2 linked regions of the Anolis sagrei genome follow. The protein of the gene in region 1 interacts with the protein of each later gene in a pairwise test. Links are inferred from orthologs where the notes say so. Each region holds a gene or a part of one and is shown on either strand. Other genes may lie near its edges.

Region 1 (7,905 bases):
AGAATCTGTGGCTACTGCTCACCCCATCCGTGGATTCAAACCGCCGACCTTCTGATCAGCAATTTCTGTAGCTTAGTGGTTTAACCAACTGCGCCACCATGGCCCCAAGTCATTTCTTCCCAAAGTAAAATTAAACTTAAAAGTCTTTAATATTTTCTGCCAAAAAGTCCTAGCACCTCATCAAAATACAACTCCTAGGATCCCATAGCAATGGACCATGGCAGTCAAAGTAGTTTTCAACTGCATTAATTCCACAGTGTATAGCTCTTGTTGTGGCTGATGCACAGAGGCACTTGTGATCAAGGTTTTGTTGTGACCCGATGCTCGCATTATGAATTTTATTAAGCTAACCTTAAGAAATGGGACTACAAAGGAGTCCACAACATCCGAGTGCGGAGAAGAGCAAACCACAGACCACCTACTACAGTACAACCTGAGCCCTGCCACATGCACAATGGAGGACCTTCTCCCAGCGACACCAGAGGCCAGCTTCTGGTCAAAGGACAGTTAGCATAATGCCAAGTTTTAAAACTTTGTGTTTTTAAATACATTGTAACTGTACCCTCAACTCGCTTCTGACACAATAAATAAATAAATTATGAAAAAGTGGATGTTGACCCTACATCTGATCATCTGATAGCATCCTTTTAGTCAAGTCAGCCTATTAAATTGGGCTGGGAAGGAGGAAAAAGAGCCTGAAAACAAATTCTAGTGTTTGGAAAGTACTATGATCTGCTTCCTCACCTCCATCCACATAAATCACTTCCATAATTTTGTTGAAGGCTTTCATGACCAGAATCACTGGGTTGCTGTAAGTTTTTGAGGCTGTATGGCCATGTTCCAGAAGCATTCTCTCCTGACATTTCAACTGCATTTATGGCAGGCATCCTCAGAGGTTGTAAGACCTCTCAACCTCTGAGAATGCCTGCCACAGATGCAGGCGAAACGTCGGGAGAGAACTCTTCTGGAACATGATCATACCACAGCAACCCAGCACTTCCATAATGATCAGTGTGGGCACATCTTTACTATAGTACTAATGCCATTTGACAGTACCTGAACTGCCATGGCTCAAGGCTATGCACTCCTGAGATTTGTAGTCAGGTGAGGCACCAACACTCTTTGGGCTGAAAAGGCAAAAGACCTTGTAAAACAACAACTCCCAAGATCCCATCACACTGAGCCATGGCAGTTAAAATAGTGGCAAAGTGCATGGATTCTACACTCTAGGTACATCCTGAATCTCTCAACCAAGGCAGCGGATGACAGTGAAGGGAAAGGAGAGCCATTGACCCAAATGTCTTCTTCTTCCTTGTCCCCACTTTTTCTCTCATCGGGGAACCCATAAGACATCAAAAGACTTTTGCTTCCTATTGAACCAGCACCAGAATAACTATAGCTGCAAATCTCTCTTTGCTTTTGCCAGTATGCCTTTTTTGCATCAAAAGGGCCTAAATGCCATACAAAGTCACCACATTCACACTGATCTTCGGCTCAAAAGGGTCAGGCCCAGTTAGGACTTGGAGGGGAAACTAAGGGAAACTTGGAGGGGAAACTTGGAGGGGAAACTAAGGAATTCCAGGTGCTGCAGGCTATATTCCAGAGGGAGGAAGAATATGCCTTGCCTAAGAAAACCCTATAAGGTTGTTGTAAGTTTTTAGGCTGTGTCGCCCTGTTCCAGAAGCATTCTCTCCTGACGTTTCGCCTGCATCTATGGCAGGCATCCTCAGAGGTTGTGAGACTTCACATTCTCTGAGGATGCCTGCCATAGATAGCATTCAGAAGAGAATGCTTCTGGAACATGGCTATAGTAATGGTAAAGGTTTTCCCCTGACATTAAGTCTAATCCTGTCTGATTCTGGGGGTTGGTGCCCATCTCCATTTCTAAGCTGAAGAGCTGGCATTGTTCATAGACACCTCCAAGGTCATGTGGCCGGCATGACTGCATGGAGCACCCATGGAGCTGGAGCGGTACCTATTGATCTACTCATATTTGCATGTTTTCGAACTGCTAAGTTGGCAGAAGCTGGGACTAACAGCGGGAGCTCACTCCGGTCCTCGGATTCGAACCTGCGACCTGTCAGCAAGTTCAGCAGCTCAGCGCTTTAACCCATAGAGCCCAAAAAACTTACAACAACCCAGCAATTCCAGCCAGGAAAGCCTTCGAAAATGCATAAAACCCTATAGGGTCGCCCTAAGGTGACAGGTAACTTGACGGGACACACATATATATCCACACTGGAAGTCCTCTTTGCGGTCCTCGCTTTCCCTTAACCACTCCATTTCCCTTTTCCCTGAACTCTAAAGTTGTAACTTACCGCAATCGTAGGCATTTGGGGACTGAAGGAAAGAGGGGAAAGGGGGTCCGAATGCGTCCTTCTCTTTGCTCCCTTCCCTAGCTGCACTTGGCAAGCCCAGTCGCCAAAGGAGGACCCCAAAACCGGGGATCTAGGCAGGACAAGGGCGGACCTCCCCCTGGAGAAGATGGGATTTCTCTCCCAAAGTAGGACTCCCCAAAGTATGCCCAGATCCCCGAGAAAAAGGGAAAGGCGAGGGGGAAGGAAGGAAAGAAGGAAGGCAGGAGGGAAAGGCCACTTACTCGGAGGGCTCGAGGCTTTTCCTTTCGATGGCCGAGGACATTGGCAGCTCTGGCTCGGGGTCACCCCACCCGCGACCACATCCACGGGGCTCCCTTCGGGAAAGGGAGAAAGAAGAGGAAGGATACAGGCAGGCAGACCAAAGGAGCCCGGGGCGTGGGGAGGCGGCCTTTCGGGGAGAGACCCTTCTTCCCGGGAGCCCGGCGGGCTTTCAGCTTCCCATCCTGGCCAGGCGCTTGGTCCTTGCCGCGCTTCGATCCCGGGATGAATCCTCCTCTCTTTCTCTCTCTTTCCCTTGCTGCTTTAGGCAGCGCTCAGCATCCCTTGCTGCTCCTCCTTCTCCGCCGCCACCACCATCAGCAGCAGGACAGCGGCTCCTCCTTCATCTATTTCTTCCTCTTCTTCTTCTTGCTGGTCCCACTTCTGAAGCTCTTCTCTCTGTGTCTGTGTCTTTCCTTCTCTCTCTCTCTCTGTCTCTCTCTCTCCCTCCCTCCCTCCGAGCCGCTCTGCTTTCACATCCTCTTTCCTGATCACGACTCCAATACAATAGAAGGAAATGACATTTTAAAGAGACAGCTGTCTATTTCTTCTTCCCTGGCCCCCCACCCCTCCCTTCCCCCGGGAATAATTGCAGCCGACGCATCTCTCACGACGACCGAGGCGGGCGCCTTAAAGGGCCAGAGCTCGCCTTTCCCTGCCCTGGCCGCGCAGGGTGGTTGCATCTCGTTATTTAGGACTCATATTTTACTTGATAGTATGGGTAACCGCTGGACTCAAGGGCCGCAGACCTTTGCTAAGGAGGAAAGAAAGCGGGCTTTCTGGGGAGGGAAGCGAGGCCGGGCTCTCCAAGAGGCAAGCGGGGCACAGGGAAAGTTGTCTTCTGCCCAGGGACAGCATACACATCTCTACACAGGTAGAATCGGTTTTAGGGGCCGGGTTGCGTTTATTATCAGATAGGACTTTCATCAAAATAGGATTGTAATGTCTCTTCTCTCTGCCCAAATAATTATTGTCTTCCTCCTTGGCTAGTCATTAAGCCATTTGCACATTGTCCTTTCTACTTGTTAAGCAGTGACAAACACTTTACCTGTCCAAAGGTGTCTCTCCCTATGAACCATCAAGGACTTTAAGATCATCTGGGGAGGCCCTGCTCTCGGTCCCGCCACCATCGCAGTCGCATTTGGTGGGGACAAGAGACAGGGCCTTCTCCATGGTGGCCCCTCGGTTGTGGAACTCCCTTCCTAAAGAAGTTAGATCTGCCCCCTCCCTGACTTTTCACAAGACACTTAAAACTTGGCTGTGGAACCAGGAATAGTTAGTAAAGTTTTTTTTAATCGCAATTTCTTCCTTTAATACCATCTTCCCTTTGTCTACTTTTAATAGATCTTTGTAGGTGGGCCACTTTTGCCAGCCTAATTCTCATCTTTGAAAGGCTTCTAGGGGTGACAGCCACGTTGGAGTTTTGGTATAAAATTTCAATTTATATTTCTCTATGGTATTGGCCGGGGATGGACAATGGATTATGGGACTTGCAGTACCTTTGCTCAATTCCTGAGACCACTGCAACCATCATCCAATTACCGACAAAGACCAAACTTGGCAAACTGAGTCTCCATGACGCACTCTACATCCTGCTGTGGTTTGGAGGAGGATGCACCATGGACGATGGGACTTGCAATACATGCACTTCCTTCCTGAGACCATTACAACTGCCAACAATGATAGATCAGGATGACAATTTACACAGAGAGCCCGCATGACCCACTCTACATCCTGGTGCAGTTTGGAAAAATTTGGAAATGGATGATGGGACTTGCAGTAACTTCACTTACTTCTTGAGACCACTGAGACCCTCGCCAATGACTGATCAAGACCAAACTTGGCACACAGAGCCCCCATGACCCACTCTACATCCTGGTGCACTTTCAAGGAGGACAGTCCATGGATGATGGGACTTCAAGTACCTCCACTCCCTTCCCAAGACTGCTGCAACCCTCATCTAATGACCAATCAAGACCAAACTTGGCACACAGAGCCCCCTTGACCTACCCTACATACCAGTGCTGTTTGAAGGAGAATGGACGATGGATGATAGGACTTGTAGTACCTTCACTCACTTCCTGAAACCACAGCGACACTCATCCAAATACCAATAAAGACCAAACTTGGAACAGAGATCCCCCATGGCCAACTCAATATTCTGGTGAGGTTTGGGGGAGAACAGACTATGGGTGATGGGACTTCAAGTACCTCCACTCACTTCCCAAGACTTCTGCAACAGTCATCTAATGACCAATCAAGACCAAACTTGGCACACAGAGCCCCTATGACCCACTCTCCATCCTGAAGCAGTTTGGAGGAGGATGGACCAGAGATGATGGGACTTACAGTACCTTCACCAACTTCCTGAGACCATTGCGAGCCATATAAATAACTGAGAAAGACCAACCTTGATACACAATTCCTTTCTCAAATAACCCTGGGCAGCGCTGGGTCCCCAAGCTAGTATTAATCATATTAGTCATTATTAGTAGGACATTATTTTTTAATACTGGCAGCCAGATTTTGAAGCAGCCAGGTTTTGAGCCTGCAGGGCCATTAAGTGCTAATCAAGGTGGTCAATTGCAACATTCACACCTGTCTCAAGCAAACAAGAATTAGATTATATTAGTCACTATTAGATATTATTATATACACATATATATTTATTATATGTATATGTATGCATATATCTGTGTGAGTATGTGTATATATACACATATGCACCCATGTATACATATGCATATATGTATATGCATATATATGATTAATAGTATCTAATATATACACTAATGTCTAATAATGACTAATAGAGTCTGATATGAGTGTAGACGTATATGACTGATAGCTAATATCTGAGAATGACATTCATGTGGATACAGATGAAGGCTTGAGCAGGCACATAAAAGCCAGTAATGGAAAGAAACCGCTATCTCATCATCTTTTCCAGCCTCTCCCTCGCTCCCTTCTTCACCTCTCCCCTCCAGCGAGGCAGGAGGATAATTCACACCGTGGAGCGAGATCTGCTTCGTGGTGGAAATCCCCTTAGAAGTGCAGTGACAGCAGTGCCAGGCTGGAGGTGCGCCTGTCTCTCAAGTACAGGCGGGGACAGGGAATTAACTGCTCCAGTGGCTCCTGGATAAGTTACAGCTACTTAAGCAAAGGGAAGCAGGAGATCAAAACCCACTCGAATGTTGGTGACATGTACCATTCCCCTTGCAGATATGTCCTCCCCAATATGTAATGCAGCAGGTGGTGATGAAAATTTAGCGCATTTCTAATTGGGTTGTTGTAGGTTTTTTCGGGCTATATGGCCATGTTCTAGAGGCATTCTCTCCTGACATTTCGCCTGCATCTATGGCAAGCATCCTCGGAGGTAGTGAGGTCTGTTGGAGCTAGGAAAATGGGTTTATATATCTGTGGAATCATTTCTAATTGCCTAATTTTAAAACTGTATCTGTCTTTCAGCTTCTGTCCAAACTCTAGGGGAATCTCAGGGCAAAGTGTCAGGGCCTCCTCCAAAAGGCATTGGTGCCAAGTGGACAAAGACCCTTCATGGCATGGGCTATAAAGGGAATTAGGTTTAGCCTGCCTTCCTGGTGCCCTTTTCAAAATGCAGGTCACTAGTCACACTTTCAGAACAGTAACTTCCTTCCAGGCTTGTAGCCGGGGTGGAGGGGGGTGTAGGGGTTCAACCCCCCCCCCCTGAAATTTTTCAAGTTAAAAAAAACACCTGGTTTACTCATGAATTTTAACTGGTTAACCAAATCCTAATGCTAAGTCTATGAGATGCAAAAAATTAAGAGTCCCTCCAGAACTGCAAGCACTATCTCAAGCAAATATTGACAATTTATTCACACTGTCATTACTTGCAGCAATAGCCGATGTAGCGAAGCAACCAAGTTGGGGGGGGGGGGCTGAATGCCAGACTTGGTGGAGGTGGTTGACAGGGGCAGAGCTGCAGGCTATGGAAGGCTGCTCTGCCCCCTGCTGTGCTCTTTGCTTCAGCGTGACCCTAACCCCCCCCCCCCATGAAATTTTCAACCCTCCCTGAAATTTTCAACCCTCCCCAAAATATTTTTCTGGCTACGGCCCTGCTTCCTTCTGACCCGGAAGCTCTTCCTATTCAACTTTGATTATATCTCCAATGGATAATCTTTGGAGAAGGAAGGGACCATTCAAATGCATTCAGATTTGCTGTCACCAATATTACACAAATATCGATATCTGGTTTCTGGATGTCTGACTGATTGCTCTATGCATGGGTTACAATTTGACCAATTGCTAAGATCTAACTACATAGCACTCTTACAATAATATAGTGTGTGTGTTTTGGAGTCTTCCCCCCCAAAACATACACACGTTGTCTCACGTAAACAGAGAATTCATAGTTATTGGAGGGGGGGGGGGATATTACCCAAAACAAAGCCTCCTCCGCTGACCGCAGTGTGTGAGGTGGTCTATATAGGGAGATGTGGTTAGACAAATAGCCTAGCCCCGAACCATTTATAAACCAAACTCCTTCTGGACAAATATATCCAAGAAAGAAAGAAAGAAAGAAAGAAAGAAAGAAAGAAAGAAAGAAAGATATATATATATATATATATATATATATATATATATATATAAACTGGGTGTGTTTAGCTGGGTTGAAAGAATTGGGCATATTCATCTTGGTGGAGTGAAGACTGAGGGATAATGTGCTTGCATTTCTGAAATACCTCTATGGCTGACACAAAGAAGAAGCAGGTCTGTTCTTTGCTGCCCAAGACTTTAGGACCAAGTCTCATGGTATGAAGTTACAAGAGGGAAGATTTCAATTTAACATTAGAAAGAACATCTCAGCAGTGACAGCAGTTCAGAAAGAGAACCAATCGCCTAGAGATGCAATGAGCTTTCCTTCTCTTGATGTCTTCAAGAAGAGGACAGCTACCTGCTGAGGGTGCCACAGCTAGACATTGAACATCATGTCTCTCGGCAATGGATGTTTCAACAATGTCTAAAATTTAACATCTCAAGACGAAACAACTTATTGTCCTCCAAAACCATCCTTGGAATGTATATTCAATGTCCCTCTTTAACCTTTGAAGAAAGCACATATCGAAACCATGGTCTTGGTTTTATTTTTGACTCTTTTATGTCCTTTCTTTCTCACACTGAGTAAGGGGTCAAACCTGATGGCCCACAGGGCGCCTTCCAATGTTTTTTTTAATATATTTTTTATGATTTTATGATTCAATCCTCAAGTTTTTCTTAAGGAGAAGATGGA
Region 2 (7,351 bases), about 38 Mb from region 1:
AAAGTTAAGGATAAGTTCTGGAATATAGGTTTAACATATGCCACATCATAAATTCTGATAATGTATGGAAAACCAAATGATGATCCAGCTGTCTGTTGACACTTTGTCAGTGATGCTCCACAGATCTCCTATTACCATAGCTATACAGATACAGCCATGTGAAGAGACTTAAAACTGCAGGAAAAGACAGTATTCCACAATATGTTCTAGAGCAGCAGAAATAATTTGTTTTACTTACAGGATCTCAATTTCCACCTGTGTCTAAGATGTCTACCTTAGACAAAAAAAATCATTTGGTTCCCTTTACTAGAGAATTAAACCCCAGGCTGTAAGCAGTGTTGACCAATTTAAATACACCTACCTCTACAGGAGGAGAGTTGATCCTGCTACGACGATTTTCATCATGGGTGAAATCCGGATGAGCTCGTCGACCCATTTTTGCTATCTACATAAAACACAAAGAGTCCAAATGGTTCAAAAGTCCAGCGACAAAAATGTATGTTGGGATTGAGAACTTTTGGCTTTTCAAATGTTTTGGACTGCAACCCCCAGAATCCTTTAATGTTAAAAATGTTAGTTGAGGCTTTTAAAAGTCTTAAGTCCCAAATTCTGATTGTCCAAAGTTTTCCCAGACATAATAGACAGATCAAAAGATAGACAGGTTAATCAGCAATTCCCCACTGTGTTCCACAAAAGCATGGTAGGGATTCCACAAAAAAATCTTTAAAAGCTTTTTGAAAAATCTTTTTAAGAAGAGTATGAAGATCTTATCAAAATTCAGTGTACCTCTGCTTTAAAAACAAAATTTGTATCTAATTCACTAAATATTTAGCAGACTACCGTCTCCAAAACTACATTAGCAAAAGGAAAAGTTACTACAGGATGGTCCAAATCAGAAAGTCATGGGAGGCAAAATGGAAAGGCTTAATTTACAGAATAAAGGGAAAGATAATTATAAGGAATTAAACAAGATTATCCTCATGATCAAACCATTGTAGTAAGTACAGCAAAATCTGAAAACTGTTTCTGGGAAGGAGAGGGGGGAGAAAGAGGAGAAATGATGTAAACATATGTTAACAATGGAAAATATTTTGAATTTTTGTATAATTTTGTGCAGAGCAATTCACAATAATTTTGAAAATAAATGTTTTTTAAAAGGAATTTTTTAAAAATTAAAAACCAAAATTTGAATCTGTGCCACTGAATGATTCTGGATAAGACTGATCGACGTATAGCTCTCAGTAGTCAGAAAGGCTATCAGAGCAATACTCCTTCCAGGTGCCTCTGAGGCAGGTTCTTGCCAAGAAAACCTTGTGATAAGGTCATTTTAGGGTGGCCATAAGTCAGAAATGACTTGACGGCAGACTGCAATAGACTTATTGGAAATACTTTTCCACTGAAAAAAGGAAACAGTAAGAATTTGCGTCAAAAGATTTTACAAACAATGGCAGCTACAGTGAGAACTGACTCTGCGAGCTTACAAAAGGATCTTGTAAGGCATGTGAGACTAATCTTGAGACAAAAAGGTGGTTGCTTTCGCAGATTTAAGTCTACCTCATCTGATACCTCGGTTTCTTCATTATTACACAAAAGAACAATTAACTGAAACCTATTTGGACCTGAAGGAAGTCCTTACCTAAACATAGTAGGCCTTTGTCATCAGCTGAGGTTTGGTTCTACAGTGCATTATTATTATTTATTTATTTATTTATTTACAGTATTTCTATACCGCTTTTCTCACCCCAAGGGGGACTCAAAGCGGTTTACACATAAGTAATGGCAAAATTCAATGCCAGTACAAATAATTACAATTATACACTACACTCAAACATAAATCAAATAAAAACCATAGTTCCATAAGCAATAAAACAGTCTTGTTCGTCAAATTGCTGTTGCTGTCATCGTCTTCCTGAAATGCTGCATACCTTTACTTCTACTGCCCGAAGGTCCCAAAACCATAATTTTAATTTTTTTTCTAAAAGCCAGGAGAAAGGGAGCGGATCTTACCTTATTGGATGTATTGATGTTTGTTCATTTACTGATGTATTGTTGTATTGTTTTAACTGCTTTAGTGATTGTTTAGATGCTAATGCTATGCACTTTGTATATTGTCCTGTTGTAAACCGCACTGAGTCGCCTACGGGCTGAGATAGTGCGGTATACAAATAAAGTAAATAATAAATAATAATAATTACCTCATTTGGGAGCGTGTTCCATAGGCGGGGGGCCACAGCCGAGAAGGCCCTGTCTCTTGTCCCTGCCAGGCACATCTGTGCTGTTGACGGGAGCGAGAGCAGGGCCTCCCCGGATGATCTTAGATCAGGGGTCCACAAACTTTTTAAACAGAGGGCCAGGTCATAGTCCCTCAAACTGTTGGAGGGCCGGATTATAATTTGAAAAAAACATGAATGAATTCCTATGCACACTGCACATATCTTATTTGTAATGCAAAAAACACTTAAAACAATACAATAATTAAGATGAATAACAATTTTAACAAATATAAACTTATTAGTATTTCAATGGGAAGTGTGGACCTGCTTTTGACTGATGAGATAGGATTGTTGTTGTTGTTGTGTGCTTTCAAATCATTTGAGACTTAGGTTGACCCTGAGTGAGTGCCGGGTAAATGAGCTTGGAGGGCCGTATCTGGCCCCCGGGCCTTAGTTTGAGAACCCCTGTCTTAGATTATGAGTTGGGACATAGGAGCGGATGCGTTCAGACAAATAAGCTGGGGAAGAACTGTGTAGATCAGGCCTGGGTAAACTTTGGGCCTCTAGGTGTTTTGGACTCCAACTCCCACAATTCCCAACTGCCTCAGGCCCCATCCTTTTCCCTCTCAGCTGCTTGGCCCAAGTTTAAGTAGCTGAGGGGGAAAAGGAAAGTGTCTGAGGCTGCTGGGAATTGTGGGAGTTGGAGTCCAAAACACCTGGAAGGCCCAAGTTTGACCAGGCCTGGTGTAGCTACACCCTAGGTGACTTTGAGCAAAGTCACACTCTCTCAGCCTCTGAAGAAGGCCATTAACCAATCTTGCCAAGAAAGCCGTGACAGAGTCGTGTTAGGCCGGATTTGAAGGCAAACAACAACAACAACAACAACAACAACAACAAGGTAAAAGTAACAAGGAGCACACCGCGGAGTCCTGGCTCTTTTCCTCTCCCTTCCCCCAGAGAGACTCGGCCTGAGGAGAGAGGCACGGCTGGCTGTCGAGCTCCGCAGGCCGAGGCCGACTGGGCCGCGCCATTTTGCGCAGAGAGAGCGGGAGGGAAAACCTGGGCGAGGAGGAAGCGCCCCCTCCCACCGCCGTCGCCATGGCAACCCCAGGCTGGCCTTACCCCCTTGCAGACTTCTTCGTCCAAATCCAAGTCGTCCTCCATGGTGCAAGCCCCCTGTCGCGCGCGCAGGGAAAGGGAGAGCCGCCTGCTTCCTAGAGGAAGCCCCGCCCCTTTCAGCGTCCTTAGCAACCGCAGGCTGCCCTTAAAGCCGGTCTCGTCTCCCAGGTGTTTTGGACTTCTGCTCCCAGAATCCCTGCTCATTAGCCAAGGCAGCTAAGGCTTCTGGGAGTTGAAGTCCAGCTGCCCAAGAGGACTAGAGTTTGGGCGGGACTGTCTTAAAGGAGCCGCAACCCCAGTAACAAGTTCACTTGGACTTGTCAAACAAACTTCTTCATAGCTACCCTCTTTTCATTATTTTTTTGCCTGCAATCCCCATTCTGATTAATGACTTAACCAAAGGATGGGGGGAAATCTTGAATTATTTCAATATCTCCATTGTCTACAGCAGGCATGGGCAAACTTAGGCCCTCCAAGTGTTTTGGACTTTTTTTTGTCATGTCAGGAGCGTCGTTTCTGTTGTGAGAGAATTAGCCGTCTGCAAGGACATTGTCCAGGGGACGCCCGGATGATTTGATGTTTTATCATCCTTGTGGGAGGCTTCTCTCATGTCCCCTCATGAGGAGCTGGAGCTGATAGAGGGAGCTCATCCGCCTCTTCCCCGGATTCGAACCTGCGACCTGTCGGTCTTCAGTCCTGCCGGCACAGGGGTTTAACCCTGTTTGCCCATGCCTGGTCTTTAAGACTTACAAGAAGCACTTCTTCACTATCAAGCAAAAAGTGGGTGCTAGAAACAATATCATCCTCATATCATGTGGTGAAACATCAGGAGAGAATGCTTCTGAAACATGGCCATGCAACCCAGAAAACTCAGAGCAACCCAATATCATACAAAAGCTGACTGGCACAACCTGGGGATCACAACCAGATACAGCCCTTGCACTTTGCTACTCTGCTGCTGAGTATGCACACTAGTATGGAATACATCTCAGCACATTAAAACAGTGGATGTGACTATTAATGAGACATGTCACATTAATGAGACATGTTTACGCTGGAGAAATTATACTGTTAGCCGGTATAGCACCACCTGATATTCGCTGGAAAGTAGCAGCCAGCAATTAAAGGACCAAGGCATTGACATCTCCGGCCCATCCTCTGTTTGGATATCAGCCAGTACACCAACACCTTCAATCAAGAAATAGCTTTTTAAGATCTACAGGGATACTCGTAGGAACACTGGCTATAGATAAGGGCAAAATCAGAATGGTTGAAGCATTGGTGCATTGCACGTTGTCCAAAACACCATATTAAGGTAGAGATGGATCAAACAAACTTCCAGTTTATGCTAAACAATTTAATTAAAACAACACTTACTTTCTGGCTGTTATAATAGTCCAAAATATAAAACATAAACATAGCAGTCAGCCACAGAATATAAAACAAAAACTGACAGCAAACACTGTTGCATGTTCAAGATAACACCGTAGTCAAAAGGTCCAGTTCAGTGGTCAAATGCCGAGAGTTCAATGAGGAAGTCCAGGAATCAAGAGTCTAGTCAGAAGCCAGTCCAGAGATTCAAGATTCCAGGGTTACAAGAGTACTGAAGACAAGTAAGGATACCAAAAATCCACAAACCTGGGGGAAAACCAGCAGCATCTACCAGCAAAATAAGACAATTACTTTTCTCCCGAAGATTAGTTCCAAGTCTAGTTCATTATATCCAGAAACACTATCTCTTGCATGCCTCCATCCTTAATTGCTTTCACCCATGAACTCTTACTTACAGATTACTCAACCCTTTAGAACTAAGGGTTGAATTAATCCTTTCATCACCAACTGCTAGGCCTACCACCACCAACTGCAGAACACATGTGAGCATAGAAAGACAAAATTCAACTATGTGGTGTTATGAAAAATAAACCACATGTAGTTCATCTTTAACCAGCCCACATACTGCCTTGCCAGGGAAAGAAAATATGCCATGCAGGTGAACAGTTAAGAACAAGTAGTTTACTCTTCTTAATTTAGAACAACATCTGTACAATATGATCAGCTGTATCAACTTACTAAATGTCTTTTATGTTGGAGGAAAGTTCTGAGAGTGCCTTGGACTGCGAGAAGATCCAACCGGTCCATCCTCCAGGAAATAATGCCCAATTGTTCATTGGAGGGAAGGATACTAGAGACAAAGTTGAAGTACTTTGGCCACATCATTAGGAGACAGCAAAGCCTGGAGAAGACAATTATGCTGGGGAAGATGGAAGGCAAAAGGAAGAGGGGCCAACCAAGGGCAAGATGGATGGATGGCACCCTTGAAGTGACTGGACTGACCTTGAAGGAGCTGGGGGTGGTGACGGCCGACAGGGAGCTCTGGCGTGGGCTGGTCCGTGAGGTCACAAAGAGTCGGAGACGACTGAACAAATGAACAACAACATGAGAGATTTAAAATGGTCCTTTCTGTGTCCATGTGAGCAACCTTCTTTTAGCAGCCAAGAAGCAAATCAGTCTCTCTCTCTCTCTCTCTCTCTCTCTCTGCTTCTCTCTTCTTCTCTCTCTGCCCCTGCATAGCCTAAGCCTGAACAAAAATGTAACAGTATTCAAAAGTCTCAAGTTCAGCCATCTCCCTAGGCATTGCCTGATCAATCAGCTTAATGCATCTTATTTTACAGTGGATACACACTGCACTCACTGATTCCTTGCATGATCCAACAACTCCTCCCTAACTCAAGTAAAGTTGTGAGTAGTTGTGCCTTTATATCGCCTATTAACTATTTTACAGGGAATGCTCAGAGGTGGGGTTGCCAATTCCTAGAGATATGTTTTTTTGGGTTTTAAAAAGGGCACAAATTTATTTATTTATGCTTTTTCACTTTCCTGAGAGTCCTGTATCCCTAACTCCAACAATTATAGACTGTAATATGATTTTAGATTTTTATTCCTGTGGGGTATTTATCCTTAAACTGAATTCTTACACATGCAGGTATTTAAAGCTAAGTCTCCCTGAGGGATAAATGGGGGCCACAAGTACATATGATGTTTTTAATATGCATCTTTCCATCCTAACAGGCCTTGAAACGAAACCTCACCACAGTATCCTATTTCTGTAATAAATAGAGAGATTTCTCATATCCTGGAAAGGTCACATTAGGTAAGACTTATGCTTTTAAGTTTCAAGATGCAGTTTAACAGCTGGAAATAACTGGGAGGAGGACAGAAGGCCAAAACACCCAACCCACTCTTTTTTTGGGCTCTGGGGCAAGCTTTCTTGGAAACCACTCCTATATATAAACAGGGGCTCCTCCTGGGAGATGTGTTTTCTTTTTAAGAAGCGCACATCTCCCGCCAGAGAGCGCTGTTGACTTCCCTCAGCAAGACTTTCTCAAACCCAACATTTGGGGACTTTGCCTAATAAAATAAATGAAGCGCAGCCTGCCTTGATCACTGGGCAAGAGACGCCACAAGCCTCAGCAGCTGCCTGTTTCTGTCCACAGTCAAAGGCTGCCCAGTCATGCCCAACGTTTTATGGAGGCAACACGCTTTTAAGGCCCTTTCACTTGAGAAAGAGGCCAAGAAGTTCAAAGAAAGGGCCTTTCACACATAGGCAAACCCACTCTCTCCCATACAATTACAGAGTTATTTTGTTTCTGCTCTCTATGAATGGAAGCACCCAGCAGTCCTATCATAGGGCACATATATAGTAATAAGATTCCACTATGCACATATCTTATTTGTAGTACAAATAGACATGAAATAATACAATATTTAAAATGAAGAATCATTTTAACCAACATAAACTTAACTTACCAGTATTGAATTGGGAAATGTGGACCTGCTTTTGGCTGATGAGATAGTCAAGCTAATTAAGATTGTTTTTGTTGTTGTTGTTGTTGTTGTTGTTTGCTTTCAAGTTGTTTCAGACTCAGAGTGACCCTAAGTCTAAAGTTTAGGGCAGGGGTGGGTAAATGACTTTGGAGGACTGTATCCAACCTGTGAACCTTAGTTTGGGGACTCCTGAT

The links.
Region 2: the proteins of LMO2 (region 1) and IFT43 interact in binary tests that used the Homo sapiens proteins (3 or more experiments, as listed by UniProt). The two-hybrid records come from large-scale screens. The link is inferred for Anolis sagrei from reciprocal best matches to the Homo sapiens genes LMO2 and IFT43.

The regions. Positions count from the first base shown.
Region 1 is NC_090021.1:268,079,533-268,087,437, forward strand, and holds the start of LMO2 (rhombotin-2), read right to left. Parts: upstream 3,201-7,905; 5' UTR 2,641-3,200; coding exon 2,600-2,640; intron 1-2,599. UniProt on the Homo sapiens protein: Acts with TAL1/SCL to regulate red blood cell development. Also acts with LDB1 to maintain erythroid precursors in an immature state.
Region 2 is NC_090021.1:305,624,505-305,631,855, reverse strand, and holds the start of IFT43 (intraflagellar transport protein 43 homolog), read right to left. Parts: upstream 3,267-7,351; 5' UTR 3,245-3,266; coding exon 3,134-3,244; intron 446-3,133; coding exon 362-445; intron 1-361. UniProt on the Homo sapiens protein: As a component of IFT complex A (IFT-A), a complex required for retrograde ciliary transport and entry into cilia of G protein-coupled receptors (GPCRs), it is involved in ciliogenesis.